3 linked regions of the Schizosaccharomyces pombe genome follow. Changing the gene in region 1 together with any one later gene gives a genetic interaction. Each region holds a gene or a part of one and is shown on either strand. Other genes may lie near its edges.

Region 1 (4,904 bases):
TTATTCCCTCCATTTGCTGACTCAGGAGGATTGGCCAACTTTAGAACGCAGGTCTTAATGTCTTTGAGCAAGTCCATTTTAACCGAATCGGGAATACTTTCAGTTGCAGACTGCAAGGCGCTCTCATATAGCTTTTGAAAATCAATTTTAGAATCGGAATTCACAATTCCCCGAGTGTAGTCACGTAATTGAGTTGTCCAACCGCAGGATTCAAGTTTGTATTCTAATTCATTTGCTAGCCTACATTTTTTAAATTGTTGTTTAGTTATAAAATTTTTTTTTTAAAAAAGAAAGCCTATCTTTTATACCTTTCATAATCTCCAGTTTCATATAGCTGCTCAACAATTTTCTCAGTGGTCATCTTTGTTGAAAATATGAGGTCGTACATTGCTACGCAGAAATATACCATTGCAGATGCAAACGAAATATTTAAACCAGCATTGAAAAGTAACCTTTATAATTAAATCATTTTTTAATTTAGGAGTTGAAAAATAAAATATTTGGATTTCATTCTGAATACGATATCTCAGGTAAGTAGTCAATAATAGTACAATATTATTAAAAGTGTAGCTTCTCTATTTTTTACTATAAACAAAAAAACTGACTATCAGTAATGCATTTTTTGACAGTTAATAAACTACAAAAATTCTTTGGAAATAATAGCTTTATTAAAAGTGAAACTTGAGATCATTAAATTCATCGTCTTCGTCATTATTGGTTTTAGGAGATAGTTCTTTAAATGAATTACTCGATTTTTTAGAAATTGATGATTTGCCGCTTTTGTCAGACGATGCTCCGGCAGGAATACTTTCTACTTTTGACATGAGTCTTGGTACAGGCTCTAAATCTGTATCATCTTGGTCAAACACTTCTGTTTTCTTATGCTCAGATAAAGAGAGAAAAGCTTGTAAAGGTGCTTTTTGTGAAGCTTTCTGTATGAAAAAGATTAGTCGAAATTTTCTTTATTATACCACATACCTTTTGAAATTTTTTAAAATTTTTACGGCCCGAATAATATTTTGAAGTATGCCTACTGTTAGCATTCGATTTCTCGGATGACATAATTCGAATATATTCGACAGATCCAAGGTTTCGTAAACGACGATTTTCCTCAAATGCTTTATCATCTTCAGATTCTTGGACATTCTCTGAAGGTAAACTATCTACCTCCGCATTGGCCTTTTTCTCACCGACAACATTAAGTTCTAATGGTTTGAACGGAGAAGAATTTCCTTTATCCACTGAATTATAGGAAACATACTCAACCTTGGTCTTCCCCTGACCACTGCCTGTGTTTGCCGATTTTTTTGAACTGGATTTTAAACTGTTTTTAGTTTTTTCACTATTATCACCCGATTTTTTATTTTGAGCTGAACCATTGTTTGATTGATTGCTTAAATAACCCTCAGGTTCTTTTCCAAACATTTGTTTAGGTTGTACGAAATCCATAATTGAAAGGTTTTCTAGCGTTTTTACTCGCTTGCTTTTTGGCGAACAAGGCAATGGCTTTTTTACAGAAAATAAATCATCAACGATGTTCTTTTGGATATGGCGTTGGGGTTGAATAATTTTTTGGGGGGTTGAATTAGAAGCAGTAGCATACTTTAACCTCTCAATTTCTTTTGAGATTAGTTCCCTTGAATTCCTTTCAATGATTATCTTCCATAGCTGCTCAATAGTTAAACAAAAGATACCTTCTGGGAAAGAAATCTTCTCAGAGTCATATACTGCGTTGTTTAATACAACGAAATCCGTTTTTGAAATCAATTCCTTGTCTATATCCCCAAGACTCATAAAGGTCGATATCCTCAAACCCAATAACTCCAATAAGTGGTGGGACTCACTCGACGTATTTAACATGGCGCAACTGAATCCTTCTAATGAATTTATGCAGTCTTCAGGAGATGACGGGAATTGATCGTTGTTCTTTATGATATTTTTAAAACATTCAAGCGCATCTGGCATTAGGCTGGCGTCTTCAATTACGGATTCTTTAACAGTTGATAGGTACTGAAGATAGCTATCATCTATAATTACAGTTTTTTTAAGAAAAGCATACATAGTTCCAACAGTTATACTGGACCCAGCTTGTCTGTTCATAACAAAGTGGGTAGTAGCATCGCTATCGCGTAGTCCAGTCGGTATACCTGAAAGTTGATAAGAAGTGAAAAAAAAAAAGACCGAAGTACCTAAGAGGTTTAAATTTGAAGCCCACTGGGATAACATTTCAGGGTTATCGAATTGTATACACATACTTCTCCAGTATGCACTTAAAGTTAGTAAATCATATATAGTCGATAAAACTTACTTTATCGTGAATGGACATTTACCCAGTTGTATTTTAAGATCTTTTTCTTTGTAAGAATCACCATTTTGACCAACAACTTTTTCATTAACCTTGGTTCCAAACTTCGTATCGAGGTCCTTTACTTCAAACTCGCATGGGCCACCGGTAAACTGTGCACATATTAGCTGGCATTGATTTAAAATATAAGAAAGATAAACATATAATAGAAATGAAAAATGAAAAGCTCAATATTTCCATTTAATTGGATACGTACGTAGTCTTTCTCACTTGGGGTCAAAATCGTAAAACGAGCATGGCGTTTACTAATTGATTTAGAAATCACTTGAATGTGGGACGAATCGTCTGCAATATTAGAAAATTAACAAAAATAAGAAACTTACCAGATACATTTCGACCTACAATATAAGTTCCTGGAAATAGTATCCGTGATTTTCCTGCTGTTTAGTACGTACAATACGGCCATAATGAAATTGATATAGCTAGTAAGAGATACCTTTTAGAATGTCACCCTCAGCCTCAATTATCCACATTTTTTCAACATAAAATTCTTTTTATTGAAAAAATTCAGAAACCAGAATGCTGTTTTCACAACTGAGGATGCATAGGTGCGTCGCTTTTAATTTTAGTACAATTGAAAGTAACAAAGTAACCCTTTATGATGTCCAAAAGCCCTTCGTTAAATTAGAAGCTAAATCTACTAAACCAATTCTTGAATTTGAATTGACAAAGCTTGCTTTTCAAAGCTTTCTTCAAGAAAAAGTTTAATCAACAAAAACTCTTAAAAAATTTATAATTTCAAAAAATTAGACTTACACAGGTTCTCTGTCCTAGCCTTGCAAACACAAAAAATACTGTGAGTACACTAGAAAATGAATTTACTAAAGGGGTAAACTATCGTACCAAAATGAAATTTTTAAAGTCATGAGCTTATGTGAGCAAACAAACTTCAATTAAATACTATTTATCATACGTCGTGTATATGCACTACTGGATAACTTCTTTTACAGTTTAAAAAAGTCCATGCCTCTTTAAATAACTAACTTTATTTCTAGTTTTTACTACATTCCTTTATTTTTTAATCAATGAATTATCTATTACCTATCCTAATAAGCAGAAGTATGAGTTAGCTGTAGTGTTTCATTTTCGCTAATTGATATTAGCCAGGAATCTCTCATCCTCGCTAAACCTCCCTACAGCTTAATCTTCCTTAAACCATTACCATACGAATTTGCTGGTTTCATATTCGCCGTTTGCAATTTCTATGTTGGTTGCAAACTATTCTAGTGATTCAGAAGAACAGGAGAATTCCCAATCGCCTAACATCCAACCTCTTCTGCATACTGAAAATTTAGCGCCAGCTGTGGTTGATAACGTATTTATCAAATGTTTTTTATAACATGCTAATCATTTTAGGTAAAGGATGATTTAATTGTTTCAAAGGGAGGAAACTCTAGAGAATTAGCGCGTAATGTCCCGGTTAATGAAATGGTGCAGCCTGCTTTAGGGCCTGCAAATCCATTTGTCACTAAAGAACAGGATTCTATAAAGAACAGTATTACCGGTTATGCTGAGAGGGAATATGTTCCAAATTTTGTATTTAATCAAGAATATTATGCTAATACACATGCTATTTATGGAAAACGAAATTTTGATGATAACGAAGCTACTACTTCTACAGATTTAAAAAGGAAGTCCCAGAAAATAAAAGAACGTAGAGAGGATCCTGGCGATCCATCTATCCTTGAAGGGGATGGTGCTTATAAGGGGCCATGGGCCGGATACGGTTCTGAACAATCCTCTTCACCTTTGGAGTACAGTGAATATGAAGAGGTTGAATCCCTGGATGTCAAAAGTGAAAAGGATACGGAATCTAATAACCTGGGTCAAAATGAATTATTGAAGGAACAATTAGCTACTCCAGAAGTTGAAACTCATCGCTCTAAAGAAGAGACTATACTTCATAAAGATAGATTATTTGATTATCAAAATAGAAGCTATATGCATGTCCCGAATGACGTCGGAATAAATTTATCGGAAGAGCCTGGTGAACAAACTTGTTACATTCCAAAGAAGCATATATTCACTTGGAAAGGTCATACGAAAGGTATTTCCTGCCTTAGGTTTTTTCCGATTAGTGGCCATTTACTTCTTTCTGGCTCAATGGATAATCAGATAAAGGTATGTTTGTAAGCAAAAAGATGATAAACTAATATTTAGATTTGGGAAGTTTACCATGACCGTTCTTTGCTTCGTACATTCCAAGGACACGCTCGTCCTATCCGCGATTTATCATTTAGCCAAGATGGACGATCATTCTTAAGTACTAGTTTTGATAAAACAATTAAACTCTGGGATACCGAATTAGGGAAATGTTTGAACTGCTTTAATTCAGATAGATTAACAAACTGCGTCAAATTCCAAGTAGATCCTGATAAACCCAACGAGTTTTTAGCAGGAACAGCTGACAAAAGGATCCTTCAATTTGATATCAGAAGTCCTGATATTGTTCAAGCATACGATCATCATCTCGGCGGAATCAATTCCATAACATTCCTTGAAAACGGAAAGCGCTTCGTTACCACATCTGATGACTCTT
Region 2 (4,117 bases), on another chromosome or scaffold:
CGAGAATAAAACTCGAATAACATTTTGAACCCTTTTTGCAATGAACAAGATTCATTCTTTGTAATCAAATGTAAATTCGAAAAGTAATGTAATATTAAGGAATGTTTCCTTAACTCGATTTGGGATCAACAAATAGAGGTTCAACTTTGATTATATCACTGTGCATACTATAACATGTATTTTTTTAAGTTTGTTTTTTCAAAAGGTTACAGATCGATTTACTAAGCTACAAAATTCAAAAAACTTAAAAAATTCAATACTTGCAAAGCAAAGAAGCAGAAAAAAAGATCCAAAAAAAAAGGATTACATTTATTTTGTTGAATTTATTATTTTTTTTAAAAAATAAATAACTTAACTAATGAATCACTATTTAGCAATTCTCTTTAGATTTGAATCCATAAAAATCATAACAATAAGCGAAGCAATATAACTGGTATTTGCTTATAAAATGAGCGATTCATGCAAGCAGAAAGTTCTTTAAAAACAAAAGAAAACATTAAAATAGATTTAGCACTTCACTTTGGCGTTATAATATCTCCATGTTTTTTTACATGATCACGATACACTCGATATGGTAAAACCAGTGTATACTTTGGCATAACAAAATCATCTCCAACAAACGATTCATCCTCAACATATGTTTTAAGAAATTGTAACACTTCGGTTTGATCAGCTTTAGTGAGGTCGATGTATATATACAACAAATATGAAAATTGGAAAATGGTATTAGCAGTTGCTTTATAAACCACAAACGATTGGTAATATTGTCTACCTTTGTTATAATAGTCTATAACATCAGGAATAACACTGTTTTTTTCCTTTTCATTAGAGACATCTTCTCCTTCGTAATCGGCAGGTGCCAATGTTAAGTATGGCGAGCTTTGTTCAGACATTGTTCTTGCTTTCACAGGTAAATTGAGGTTGCACTGGGATATGAGTATACTGTAAGCAAGGCGCGCAGCATCTCATATAATATTCTTTCAACGAGCCGACATTAACTAGAATTTGCCAACGTAAGATCAGAATGACGTTTTGATCCGCACGAAATACGTCGGTAAAGGAACCTTATTAGTAGAATATTGCAATATTGTTCGTTGTCTGCATACTACACAAGCGATACCATAAACTGGTTACGATTATATTTTCGACGATTCAGTAGCAGATATGGCGAGTTTCAAATAATACTCTCTTGGTAAAATGCCTATTATCCAACATTGTTCCATGAATCAAGGCTATTGTTCTATTAAAAATATTACGTTGAGCAATTCAAGCGGCTTTCTCACTACGGTATCTCAGTACCGTAAAACCACTGGTTTATTCTCATAAAAACAACCTTATGTTACACAGACTTACATCTAGCCAAGTCAATAGGGTTTCGGTAAAGTTCCAATGTACTTTTCATCCTATTCCTTATCCGGAAAAAGGAATCGATCATTTTTCCAGAATTTCTGATGGTACATTACCTTTTCGAGATCTTTTCGTGGTAGTAAACTGCGAGGTGATTTACATTTTACAGCCGTGCTGCCACCAAAACCACAAGAACCTCAATTTGGTAATCTTAAAATTTCTAATTTGTTCCTTCTAGAAATCCTTTTTTAAAAGCTATAATACATGGGAATTTTCAGTATAAATTGGCTGGTCCCTTTCCTTGTATTTACATTCTTTGGTCGATCATTCTTTATGGAAAAGTAACATGTGATTTACTGAATCGACTCTTTGACGTGGATACTACTGCTGGTAGCTAAGAACCTTTGTGTGAGTGAGCAAAGTAAAAACTGCTCGATTTTGAGGAGTATAATACATCTAGCAAAAATTGAAAATTTAATAAGAAGCTCTAAGCTAGTTTTGGAGAAAGCGTTGTTCGGGATCTCGTAATATACATAAATAAGTATATTTGCTAAACGATGGGAATTAAAGGTATGTTACATTTAACGCTAAAGAGTTTATCTTTTACTCTCTCCTTTACTTAAAACTAATCTGGGTTAGGTTTGGCTCAAGTACTAAGCGAGCATGCCCCAGCCAGTGTCAAACATAATGATATTAAAAATTATTTTGGACGGAAAGTGGCTATAGATGCGTAAGTTGAAAGACTAAATAGAAAGCGAAAGTCTCAGTTGACTTGGCAAAGACTGTATGGCTTCTGATTTTGTTTGTAAATATGGGTTAAACACTATGGTGTACAGTTTTTATTGCTAAAGAGCAAAGCTCTATGTCTTAACTCGAGACAAAGATATGATACAAACGAAATATAGAATAAAGGATGAATAAATTTTCACTAACAGTGACTCGGTTAAATTCATTGCTCAAGGTATTTTACATCATTTCTTTACTTTGTTGGTTCTTGAAGTTGCAAACACTAATAGGTCAAACTCTATTCAACTGATTCTTTCCTTTTCGAAGGGTTGATTTATAAAGTCTTCTTGAGGTACTTTATTAATGCTAATTTCGTATATTACAGGTCAATGAGTCTTTATCAATTTTTAATTCAAGTTCGCAGTCAAGATGGTCAACAGCTAATGAATGAACAAGGCGAGACTACTAGTCATTTAATGGGAATGTTTTATCGTACACTCCGAATTGTCGATAATGGAATAAAGCCTTGCTTTGTCTTTGATGGAAAACCACCAACATTGAAGTCAGGGGAATTAGCTAAACGTGTGGCCCGACATCAAAAAGCACGAGAGGATCAAGAGGAGACAAAAGAGGTTGGTACAGCTGAAATGGTGGATCGGTTTGCCAAACGTACGGTCAAAGTTACTCGGCAACATAATGACGAAGCAAAACGTTTACTAGAGTTAATGGGAATTCCCTTCGTTAACGCACCCTGTGAAGCAGAAGCTCAATGTGCCGCTTTAGCCCGTTCAGGAAAAGTTTATGCTGCTGCTTCTGAGGACATGGACACATTGTGCTTCCAAGCTCCTGTACTTTTGAGACACCTGACATTTAGTGAGCAAAGAAAGGAACCAATTAGTGAGTATAACATAGAAAAAGCATTGAATGGTTTAGATATGTCGGTGGAGCAGTTTGTAGACTTGTGTATTCTTTTGGGTTGTGACTATTGTGAACCTATTCGGGGAGTTGGCCCCGCTAGAGCCGTCGAGTTAATTAGGCAATACGGGACTCTCGATCGCTTTGTCAAAGAGGCGGATCGATCAAAATATCCTATTCCGGAAGATTGGCCTTATGAAGATGCCAGAAGACTGTTTTTGGATGCAGAAGTACTTCCTGGTGAAGAGATTGAGTTGAAATGGAAAAGTCCCGATGCAGATGGCATTATACAATTTCTGGTTAAGGAAAAAGGTTTCAATGAAGATCGTGTTAAATTGGGGATCAATAGACTAGAAAAAGCCTCAAAGACAATTCCACAGGGTCGTCTTGATTCCTTTTTTAAACCAGTCCCTTCTTCTCCCAAAAAACCTGTAGATACAAAGAGCAAAGGATCAGCAAAAAGGAAAAGAGATTCAAATAAGGGTGGTGAAAGCAAGAAAAAGCGTTGAAAACGAAGTCATGTAATTGTTATTAATCTAAAAAAAAAACTTAAAAAAAGCAAGACGCATGTAGATAAAACTATACTACGCTATAATAATAGTAAATCTGTTTAATGCATGACTTTTACGTAAAAATAATTAGTCTAAGGAGGTAATTCTGATCATATAAGCTAATAATGGTATACAAAACTCGTTTCTAAGTAATAATATGCCAAAAAACAATCTGGCTGATACAACTCAAAAAACGAAAAGCAGTGGATTCGGACGATGGATCAAAGATCTTTAAAATAGTTCAATTTCTTGTGAGCCAGATTCTTGCATTGAAGAAGCGTTCTTCAAACTAAGAAATATGTTCCTAATTGAAATTAGCAAAGGCGAAAAAACTAGGAGCAAAAATGCTTTATGTCTCTTGGAAACAACATACCAAAAAATAGCAACCGTACAAGCAAATGGCATTTGGTATTGTAAGGGCATTAGCCAAAAGTTCACAGTTTGAAAGAAGGGCCAGACCATATAATTAGCCTTTAAATGTTAGCAACAATACAACAGAACCATTTAAGAAAGAAAATTTAGAAATTAAGTGTACCTTTAAAGTGGGCCAGAAAACAGCTTGAAGTTTATCGTAGGCG
Region 3 (3,886 bases), 1.1 Mb from region 1:
TGGAAGGGGCAACCCAAGACTGATAATTTCTTCCAAATGATGAATATTATAGTTGGAAACTCCAATTTTGTTTATCCTTCCTTCTTTTTGATGCTGCAATAGTGCTCGCCAAGACTCAATACGGCGTACGGGCCACTTTGGTGAATGTATTAGCACGACGTCTAACTTTGGACGACCTGTTCTGCGAAGAGACTGTTCGACCGCTTTCCAGGTACGTTCAAATCCTTGTAAGGAGTCAGGAATCTTAGTTATTAAGGTGATATCTTCACGTTTAATATTCACATTTTGATGGCAGAAATCTTGAATGGCTTGTTCACATTCTTTTTCATTTCGATATGTAATTGCTGAATCAATTACGCGAATACCAAGCGAGAGTGCCTCAATTACTTGCTGGTAGCAATCCTTAAGTTGATATACACCAAAGCAAAGTTGTTCCTTTTCAAAATTGGTTTGAGAAGGAGAAAATGGTTTCATTAACGTAAGTTGAGGTAGATGAGAGAGCTCAATGTATAGACAAAAATATTTTCTAAATCCCTAAACCTTTAAGTAGGAGATTAAAGGAAATTTTTTATATATTTAGGATAATTGTAAAGAATTATTCAATGGTTATATAGCTAGGCCAGACAAGTTCATCCTCAATAATACGTTTAACTTTTTCCGATACAAATTTCTCGACTTTAGCAACATTTTTTAGCAGCTGTTTATTAGATTCTCCAATAATACTTTCCACTGTTAAATCTCGAATAACACTTGATGCATGCTCTCCAGTTCCGTGCAGCAATGTATCAACGAAGCATAGATGCGTCCGCTTTCCCATTTTAGCCAAAACAGCAATGGCATCGATGGAAATCCTAATAAATGAAAGTTTGAATGGAAGAACTGCAAATTCAGAGTTCGGGTAATTCATCGATAGAACCGCTTCCAGGCTTAGATTTGCGTCTCCGTCATAAGATACGTGTGCAGTAACTTGGAAATCGTTAGAACGATCTCTTTCTTGATGATTATCCATTGGAGTACTTGGGCGACTTTCAGGAATTGGGCTTGTGAGTCCACTTGCAGATAGAATCCCGGGTGAATTAAATGCGGGATTAAAATATGCTAGTCTTGAAAATGGATGTTCAGCAGCGTAAGGTGGAAGATCCGTAAGCACTGGTGAAACATTATTGCGGGAGCATTGATCACCCTCTAGTTCTTGGTTAGCTAATTCGAAAGCTTCATTTTCATAAAATTGGGGATCAGGATCGCCGATTTCTTGAATAGTAATCTGAGGTGAGACTTTGCCGAAATGGAAGTCAACAACCTTTAAATGCTTTATATAAGATGGTAGCGACAAATTCGAAACTTGTCCTTCGAGAAGATGTAAAACTTTTGCTTCTAATTCTGAGTCTAACTTTGACCAATCAAAGTCAATAGACATTGTTCTGCAATTGTAAAAAAAAAATACGAACTCTTGAATCTCTCAATGACGATTGTAGCAAGTTTTCAAAATTTAAGTAATTTCTTCGTCAACTTGGTTAATGAAATAATATTTAAACCGGTTCTCTAAATTTTATACGAAGACGGCATGAATTTGATACTTTAAACAAAATCCTCCAGCAATTTTAATGTCCTTTCCTTCAATGTTCTTTTTTACTCATCGAGAATTGCAAGTGAATTTTTAAGATATCTATTTATCTTAAATATTACCTTCTGTAGGTACCAAAATCTTTTCTCCTAGTATTGTCAGTAGAGTTAGGTGGTATTCCCAGATTACCTTCTAACAAAGCCTACGCGGTTTAAAAAAGGTTAAAAAACAAATTTGTAAATTAATAAACCTTTTAGTTTATTACTATCGTAATTTGTATAAACATTTAATTTTTTGGAACCACCAGTCATGTGCTTCAGTCTTCTTCTACCTAAGTTCTTGTTGCTTGCTGTTATTTTCACCTTCTGCTAGTAAAACGTTTTCAACGTTTATCTGGAATTTGTGGTATTTCTTCATTTCTATAACAATTAATATTCAATTCATTTAATTATTTGAAGTTAGAGTTTAAACATTCAACTATTACACTCAACGCGTTTGTTGACAAAAGTTACGCGCTTCATTGCATCTTTGTTATAATTTAACATTCACTCTTTCATCTTCGAATTAGTACTTTAAAACGATTTAACTGAAAATGTCGCAAACAATTAACTCTGAACTCAATGAAAATGCTACTTCACAGTGTAAAGAAGATTTGAAAGTTTCCCTAAGCGAAAGTGATTTACGTGACTCACAGGGTCAGTTAGGAATAGAAAACCCTCCTAAATGCAATAACAGTGGCAATCACTCAGATAACCTAGGTTTTATCGAGCAGTCAGAAACAGTACATCCAGAGAATGAGAAGGCTTTGACGCCGGACCTGCGAGATACAAAAATACATACTTCTTTACCAATTACTACACCTTTTTCAAAGAAAAGGGCTCGAGAAGCCAAAAATATACTTCTTAAGCCGTTCAAAAGCCCCTTAAGACAAACTGCCAGTCCTCAAGTTGCAGACACTAATCTAAAACCATCGTTAGCTGTAACAAATCTTAACTCTGATGAAACAAACACTTCTTCAGAACCTGTTACTTCTCCCTTAAGAACAACGCCTAATTCAATAAAACGGCAAAAACGACTTTTCAAGTCACCTATCTCTAATTGCCTTAATCCAAAGTCCGACCCTGAAATCACACAGTTGCTTTCTCGTCGTTTAAAACTTGAAAAAGAAGTCAGAAATTTACAAGAGCAGCTCATAACCGCCGAAACTGCACGAAAGGTTGAAGCCAAAAATGAAGATAAAGACTTGCAAACGTTGATACAGAAATGGAAAAATGCTGCTCAGCAAGCCGCTGAAGTACTTTTTAAACCAATGGCTGAACGTATTCGTTTGGCTGGAGGTGTTACTCAGTCCTTTCGTATTGAAGAAGGTGAAAATAAAGGGCAAATTCAGGAAGTACGAACTGAATTTACAATGAGTATGTTTCTAAATCAGTTTGGTGTTCCTGTTCATTTGATGTCTTTTGATGAAGAAAATGGTGATTGGAAATCGTAAAGGACTCCTTACTATTGTTAAAAAAATTTTCGTTCGTACTAGTTAGAAAACCTTTAGTACGAACTTAAATATGTTTAGCTAGCTTACACCAAAATCAAGGGTATACTAATTGAACGTACAGAGGTACCTTAATCGTTTACATACAAATTGCGCCGAGCTGGTATCGAAATTCTTTACATGTAACAATGAATCGTTCCAGGCTGAGTTTATGACTTTAATTTATATAATTATTAGCATTATACAATAACATGTCTCATTAATTTGAAATTTCTTGATTTTGAACCTTCTGGTTCTAAATTTTTTCTGGAGATATTTAACATTCAAACAACAAAAGTCGATTAATTGGCTGACAGACAACAAATATAGATCAACCAATTGAAAGATGAAAAACAAAATTTATTCAAAGCATGATTTAATCACCGACGAACCCTAACATACATATATTTTTTATTCTGCATCCATCGAGCAACAAAATTTTAAATTAGAACGCAAAAAAATCGAAGATACAATTTTTATTAAGCGCGGTTTTGTCTACGGATGATTCGCTCACGTCGTTCTTGAAGTCGATGCTGTTGATGGCGTCTCATTAAAACCAGTCCGACAACTACCACAATAAGCGTGACACACGCAGTCTCCAAAAACCTTCCATCAATGTAATCATAAGTGAAACGAATATCATTATAGGATTCACCCATCTCTTCAGTATTAGGCGAGGGCAAGGACTCAGACGTTTCTTGAGGGTCAGGTTGTTGTGGTGTACGATCTACTTGTAGTGTTGGTGGTTCTGGGGGAAGTTGTGAGTCCGGACCTGCCGGGCTTAGTATGTCAAA

Evidence for each region. A genetic interaction does not mean that the proteins touch.
Region 2: mutations in nbs1 (region 1) and rad2 are lethal when combined (synthetic lethality), as found in Schizosaccharomyces pombe (3 studies listed by BioGRID).
Region 3: of nbs1 (region 1) and sfr1, changing one enhances a phenotype caused by changing the other (phenotypic enhancement), as found in Schizosaccharomyces pombe (one study listed by BioGRID).

Annotation. Positions count from the first base shown.
Region 1 is NC_003423.3:2,648,077-2,652,980, forward strand, and holds nbs1 (Mre11 complex BRCT domain subunit Nbs1), read right to left. Parts: upstream 2,902-4,904; 5' UTR 2,839-2,901; coding exon 2,802-2,838; intron 2,743-2,801; coding exon 2,689-2,742; exon of another isoform or gene 2,651-2,688; coding exon 2,562-2,650; exon of another isoform or gene 2,458-2,561; coding exon 2,309-2,457; exon of another isoform or gene 2,270-2,308; coding exon 2,190-2,269; exon of another isoform or gene 2,160-2,189; intron 2,148-2,159; coding exon 979-2,147; intron 933-978; coding exon 669-932; 3' UTR 501-668; downstream 1-500. Other genes in the region: SAGA complex deubiquitinating submodule subunit, TREX complex subunit Sus1, read right to left, coding at 1-240, 309-388; Prp19 complex WD repeat protein Prp17, read left to right, coding at 3,570-3,680, 3,722-4,486, 4,526-4,904. UniProt on the Schizosaccharomyces pombe protein: Component of the MRN complex, which plays a central role in double-strand break (DSB) repair, DNA recombination, maintenance of telomere integrity and meiosis.
Region 2 is NC_003424.3:5,389,049-5,393,165, reverse strand, and holds rad2 (FEN-1 endonuclease Rad2), read left to right. Parts: upstream 1-1,743; 5' UTR 1,744-1,904; coding exon 1,905-1,917; intron 1,918-1,986; coding exon 1,987-2,077; exon of another isoform or gene 2,078-2,254; intron 2,255-2,262; exon of another isoform or gene 2,263-2,458; coding exon 2,459-3,497; 3' UTR 3,498-3,580; downstream 3,581-4,117. Other genes in the region: SPOM_SPAC3G6.07 (uncharacterized protein), read right to left, coding at 516-893; SPOM_SPAC3G6.05 (Mpv17/PMP22 family protein 1), read right to left, coding at 3,771-3,843, 3,913-4,010, 4,075-4,117. UniProt on the Schizosaccharomyces pombe protein: Structure-specific nuclease with 5'-flap endonuclease and 5'-3' exonuclease activities involved in DNA replication and repair.
Region 3 is NC_003423.3:1,578,532-1,582,417, forward strand, and holds sfr1 (DNA recombination mediator Sfr1), read left to right. Parts: upstream 1-1,924; 5' UTR 1,925-2,156; coding exon 2,157-3,056; 3' UTR 3,057-3,349; downstream 3,350-3,886. Other genes in the region: SPOM_SPBC28F2.05C (xylose and arabinose reductase), read right to left, coding at 1-474; ERMES complex subunit, membrane tether and lipid transfer protein Mdm12, read right to left, coding at 596-1,417; hrd3 (HRD ubiquitin ligase complex subunit), read right to left, coding at 3,572-3,886. UniProt on the Schizosaccharomyces pombe protein: Involved in DNA recombination repair and meiotic chromosome segregation.